Linked DNA regions of Xenopus tropicalis. The protein of the gene in region 1 purifies or fractionates together with the protein of each later gene. This does not show direct contact. Links are inferred from orthologs where the notes say so. Each region holds a gene or a part of one and is shown on either strand. Other genes may lie near its edges. The genes, in order: hdac5 and prkd1.

Region 1 (3,825 bases):
TCTTATCTGTTATCTGCTATGTAACCTGTGCCTTTTCTCCTTTTTTCCAGCTTCAATGGCTGCCCCCATGGCTACACAGCAGCTTATTTATATAAACTATAGTAGTGTTCCTGAAGCAAACACCCCAGTTTTACCAGTGCAGGGCCACAGTACGTTATATTTCAATTACTTTCATTTCTTGGTGTTACTGTTCCTTTAAATATGAAAAGTGTTAGTGAGCCACACAAGCATGATATAAGTTCTTTGGTGATGCTAAATAAGGACTGTGATTGGCTATTTGGTAGCCCCATGTGGACTGCTGGCCTGCAGGAGGCTCTGCTTGGAGTAAAACTATGTCTCTGTGCACCTACTTTAAGGCCATTGGGAGCAACATCAAAGGGAGTGGTTGCCCCCGAGCCACTGGTTGGAGATCACTGCTCCAGCATTCACCCCAGTCTTTTTGAATTTTTGCAGCAACAGCAGGAGATCATGGCCGCTAAGAGACAGCAAGAGTTGGAACAGCAGAGAAAGCGTGAAAGGCAGAGGCAGGAAGAGGCTGAAAAACAGCGACTGGAGCAGCAGCTTCTGATTCTGAGGAACAAGGAGAAGAGCAAAGAAAGTAAGAGGATTAAGGAAAGGGGATACAATTAAGCTAGGGGGCAAGGCAATATGATCAGAAGCTGCAGAACATTCATCTTATTTAGAGACATGGTGCTTAATCCTTTACTAGTGTGTAATCTCTGGTTTTTGTTAGGTGCTATTGCCAGCACAGAGGTGAAACTAAAGCTACAGGAATTTTTGCTCAGTAAGTCCAAGGAGGTACCTGGAAATGTGAACCATTCCATCCTACAGCACCCCAAGTGCTGGTAAGTGAGAACTAGAAGAGGTTTCTTGCACTCCTGAAACCTGCTTTATTCCTCCTTCATACTACATGGTATTCGCTGCTTTCTTAAGTGCTCTTCCCATCTTTATTTTCTACTTCTCTTTCCATCTAATTCTCATCTTTACTTGCACTGTCACCTCAAGTACCTGCAGTCTACTCTACATCTTCATCTCTCCTTTCCTTGGATTTTGTTACTTAATATGTTCTCACCCTCTCCTCCTCCCTTTCCCTTAGTATCTTGCTCTAATCTTTGCAACTCTGTGCCTTCTTGCTGTATTTAACATGTAGCATTACCCCATTATAACTGTATTTCACTATTTTATATGTACCAAATGTTCATTTACCTTATGGCCTCTCATCTGTTTTCTCATGGCATATCAGTGTCCCATTCTTTTGTCATAGGGGCACGCACCATACCTCACTGGACCATAGTTCCCCTCCTCAGTCTGGGTCACCAGCAACTCCCCCATCCTATAAGGTATCCCTCCTTGCAACCTGCGATGGACGTGATGACTTTCCTCTCCGCAAAACTGGTTAGTATATCCAACTTGGGTTTTATACTGGGCACCAGAGAAACTGAGGGAGAATGATCAGTGAAGAGTTTGAGGCTAAGGTTTATGTGTAGGATGTTATTCAAAATCTTATTATGTTTTCCTGCAGCCTCGGAACCTAATCTTAAGGTCCGATCCCGATTAAAGCAGAAAGTTGCAGAACGTCGGAGTAGTCCTCTGCTTCGAAGAAAGGATGGAACTGTTATCAGTGCTTTTAAGAAAAGAGCCATTGAAATCCAGGGTATGCTGGAACTGATACAATCTTTAAGCAACTCTTTACTGCTACTCTTTGCTGAATTCCTTCTACCTGCACCCACATATTTGCCTCTACTTATCCTTTATATATTGCATTCCTCACCCCATACTGCTCATACAGTCACTTTAGTTCTACTGCACTCCATTGCTTTTTTTCCTGTTCCCCTGAAACCCAAGTCTCATCGCTGAGATGTTGGTGCTCCTCCCGCAGTGTCTTCGGTGTGCAATAGTGCCCCAGGATCTGGGCCGAGCTCGCCAAACAGCTCCAACAGTGCCATATGTGAGAATGGACTGACTGGCAGCGTGCCTAATATTGCCAGCGAGGTAAGGGAGGCCTAGGGTAAAAGTTGTGGGAAAGATGTGCATGGAAGGCCCGGACTGGCAATCTGTGGCTTCTGGCAAATGCCAGAGGAGCTGCTGTAATATGCAATAGAAAGTGGACTGGTGGGGGGCTGTTAGGGCTTCTGTGTACATAGAATGCCAGGGCCTATTTTGACTACCAGTCCAGACCAGCATGGAAGCTGGAAGAGGTGAGAAGGGTCAAATGACTGGATAGTTTAAATAGTACAAGGGCTTCTGAACATGGTGGGTGAAAATTGTTTTGTGTTGCAGTGGTCACTACTTAACCAGTGACAATATTGTACTCTAAATTCTTTAGATGCTTCCTCAGCAGAGAGTTCTGGCTCTGGAAGGAGCGGGTGGACCTCTCGGGTTGTATACTTCTCCATCACTGCCCAACATCTGCCTGCAGGGGAGCACCAGCAGCCTAACTGTGAGTAGCCAGACTGAAATGGAAGTAATGTTTACAGTCTGAGAAAACCTTTGCACATTTACAGAGGGTTTTTAGAAATGTATCATTTCCAGGCATGATGACTTGACCTTTACTACTTCTAAGGTTCTCTCCTCAGGGTCAGTTTAGCCCCCAGGAAGGGGCAGAGCGTCAGAGTCTGCGCCCAGGTGGTCCCTTCATTAACACCTCTCCACTGCCTGCCCTGGATGGGGGTGAGATAAGTACCCTGACGGCACCTTCTCTCCTACAGCATGTTCTCTTACTAGAGCAGGCTAGACAGCAGAGCGCTCTCATAACAGGTGAATATCTGCTTTTCTTTTCCCTTTTCCTTTCAAGGTTTCATTTTTCTCCTTTAGTTTTTCTATCCTTAAATTCTCTCTCTTTTCATGACACCCGGTTACATTTTCTTTTCTTCATTCACCCATCTTATTATAACCTGACTTATTTCCTCAAGTTTCCTAACTTGCTTTCCTTCCGTCTTATGGAATCAAATAATATTTAGACTTTCCTTCGTCAGTCAAATTATTTTTCATTACTATTAGTTATTCTTTGTTGCAGTCCCTCTTCATGGTCAGTCCCCCTTAGTAGGGGGAGACCGAGTCTCTGGTTCCCTACGCTCTGTCACCAAAGGCACAAGGCATCGTCCCCTAAGTCGTACACAGTCCTCTCCTCTCCCGCAAAGTCCTCAGGCGCTTCAACAACTGGTTCTGCAACACCAGCATTACTTGGACCAGCAACACCTCAACAAGGTTTGTATAGACCACTCAGGACCTTAGCTTAACTGTGCAACTATGCCATTGCTCCAGAACTCTACATAAGCTTGATATAGTGCCATTATTCCACAATATTCCTGCCCTGTGTCTTAAACGTGGAGTTCTCTAAAAGCTTCTTGTTCTGTATTCCCATCCCCAAATTCTCTGCAAGCTTCTTCTACTGTTTCCTCAATGTGGAGCTCTCTAAAAGCTTTTGTTCTCTACTCCTATCCCCAAACTCTCTGCAAGCTTCTTTTTCTTTGTCCCCAATGTGGAGCTCTCTAAAAGCTTCTCAAAGCTTCTTAATCTTTACCCCTGTCCCCAAACTTTATGCTGACTTCTTCATCTATGTTCTCAATGTGGAGCTCTCTAAAAGCTCTTGTTCTCTACCTCCATCTCCAAACTCTCTGCAAGCTTCTTCTACTGTGTCCTCAACGTGGAGCTCTATAAAAGCTTCTCCTAATGTATTCCCATCCCCAAACTTTTTGTAAGCTTATCTAAAGTGTTCCTAACCCAGAAGTCTGTAAGCTTCTGTACTCTTCCCAGGACAGCCTTGGAGTTGCTTCTTCTCATTCTCAGTACAGTGAGAATGGGAATGGGAATTTATGTAGCTCT
Region 2 (2,552 bases), on another chromosome or scaffold:
TGACCACCTGGTATATGTGTTTAATCATTCACCTTTTGCTTTTTGGGAAAATATTTTACCTGCTTTTAGTTTGCATCCCTGTCCGAGGGATTTGGAATTTAGTAGAATGGATACGAAAAACTCTACAAAAATAAAATTAACTTAAAAAATTAAAGGCTTACTTTACCTTTAAACCATATTTTTTTTGAGTCCCTAAACTAACTCTGTATAACCCTCAGAATAACATACCTTTCTCCCTGCATGCAGATTTATTTTGTTTCTCTTTTACAAGCAGCTGAACATCAGTTCTTTTACTGGCTAGTATGAACCTCTGCTCCCTTTTGCTTTTGAGCCCACCCTTCCTGCCCCCTTTTGCCTTCTGAGCCCCTTTCTTTCCAGTAGTGGGCAGTATAATATCTTTTTCACATTAACTAATGTCCATTTAACAGAAAAAAGATAGTTATGGCACAGCTGGCTTGTGTTATGGCTAAGAGACCCATAGGTAAACCATATAGTAGACCTCAATGTGTTCTTTGATGTGGTGCTTACCTGTAACCAGGGATGGTTAAGAGTCTTGTCAACACTATAACGTTTCCTCATTTTAACCTGCAGCAGGTTGTTAATCAGATCGATAGCTAAAATTTAAAAAATAAACAAAAAATGTTTAAAAAGCATTTATGAGATTTTTTTTTAAACCACACAATGATTATTATGAACCCACTTAGATGGAGATTTTCCTCTGAGACATGCTGAGACTGTCATAAACATGAGGAAAAAATCTCTAAAACAGCACTGACATATTCAGAGATAATATCTGTCAGTTAACCTCAGTGCTCTCAGACACATAAGTTGCCCTGACAACATAAATGCGGCATTTCCCCACAAAAGATACCATACAGGAAAGGTGCACTCATTACTGCTTTCCTGCAAAACCTCCTATCTCTGGCACATCTACTGCTAAACTAAAAGCTTAATAATAAAAAATGAAGACCAATTGCAAATAGTCTAAGAATAGCACTCTCTACATTATACTAAAAGTTAATTTAAAGGTCAACAAGGCCTTTAATCCACTAAAAGAAAACACGCATTTGGATGGTTTGGGACTAAATTTGAAATAAATGTTCACTAAAACACAATGTTTTTGTGCTGGACTTTTCCACAAACAATGTGTTCCTGAATAGGATTGGTGGTGCTTAATTATCCTGTCCATCGCTCACCTACTGATTAGGGGTGGGGTTTTATTACTATTTAAGCTTTGTTTTTTCACTGTGTGGTTATCCTGACGAAGGCAGACAGTGCCGCCCGAAACATTGTTTTTTTGTGGTACATTGGCATAATAAATGGGGTAAGCTCCCCAGCTGAAATTTTGTTTGAGAGCAGTCTCTATTTCTGCTTTGTTCTATACATTGTTGGGGCGCTGCCATACGTCTTGGAGACTTTGCACCACAGAAAATTGCCTGAGGTGAGTGCAGCTGTGAATTTTTTTTTGTTTGCTACATTTGGACTAAATCAGCCTGTTACCAGTTATGCCAGTGTATGGCTTACAACCCAAGAGGTGACAGGAGTCTCTTTGCCAGTGGGCCTAAGTGAACCATAATAAATTTAAACAAAGTCTCTTGTTTTTTGGAGGAGTGTATTTTTAATAACTTTTTTCTCTTGTCCTAGTTCTATTAAGGCCTCAGAATGTCTTCACTATAACCAGTTCTCATCCTTGCTTTATCTCCATCTAACTCCATCAACTAAACATGACATTTATGCATTCAAATAACCTTACCATCAGGAGAGATTTCTTTCCATGGGTTTGGAGGGTACATAAAGGCAGCATTCTGGATCTGGTCATGAATGTCTTCATCCTCATTAAAAGGGAAAGTTCCACTCAGGCTGACATAAATAATGACCCCCACAGACCACATGTCCAGTGAGCGGTTGTAGCCACGGTTTCTCAGCACTTCGGGAGCCAGATAGGCTGGTGTGCCTACAACAGAACGCCTAAAAGACTTCTCTCCAATAATACGAGCAAAGCCAAAATCACAAAGCTTCACCTAAAGGAAAATAAAGAAGGATTTTTAACTTACCGGAAAATCCTTTTCTAGACGGCCCGTACTGTCAGTGCAGACACCATGGGGTTAAGTATTCCCTTCCGGAGGCAGGACAGAAGAAAAAAGAAACTTCTCGGCTCCACCCCCTCCCTATAAGCTGGGGCTTACTGCACTGACAGTACGGGCCGTCTAGAAAAGGATTTTCCGGTAAGTTAAAAATCCTTCTTTCTCTAGACTGGCCCTAGCTATCAGTGCAGACGCCATGGGGACGTTCTAAAGCTGTCCCATATTTTGGGTGGATGCTGGGGAACCTTTGTTCGCCCCATATGTGACCAGGAAAGCGTCCGCCTTCCTGTAGTGTCTGGACCTGTGCAGATAGAATTTAACTGCCCGTACAACATCTAATTTGTGGAGTGCCTTTTCCTTTGAGTTAGTGGGATGTGGGCACAAGGAAGGAAGATTAATTTCCTCATTTATATGAAAGGGGGAAACCACCTTCGGTGTGAAAGATGGCACCGTTCTGAATACTGCTCT

What was found.
Region 2: the proteins of hdac5 (region 1) and prkd1 purify together in Homo sapiens (affinity purification with western blotting; 4 studies listed by BioGRID, with this or other methods). This does not show direct contact. The link is inferred for Xenopus tropicalis from reciprocal best matches to the Homo sapiens genes HDAC5 and PRKD1.

What each region holds. Positions count from the first base shown.
Region 1 is NC_030686.2:18,407,255-18,411,079, reverse strand, and holds part of hdac5 (histone deacetylase 5), read left to right. Parts: intron 1-453; coding exon 454-598; intron 599-733; coding exon 734-845; intron 846-1,264; coding exon 1,265-1,395; intron 1,396-1,522; coding exon 1,523-1,654; intron 1,655-1,879; coding exon 1,880-1,992; intron 1,993-2,326; coding exon 2,327-2,440; intron 2,441-2,576; coding exon 2,577-2,757; intron 2,758-3,016; coding exon 3,017-3,207; intron 3,208-3,825. UniProt on the Homo sapiens protein: Responsible for the deacetylation of lysine residues on the N-terminal part of the core histones (H2A, H2B, H3 and H4).
Region 2 is NC_030684.2:112,872,199-112,874,750, forward strand, and holds part of prkd1 (serine/threonine-protein kinase D1), read right to left. Parts: intron 2,022-2,552; coding exon 1,754-2,021; intron 615-1,753; coding exon 529-614; intron 1-528.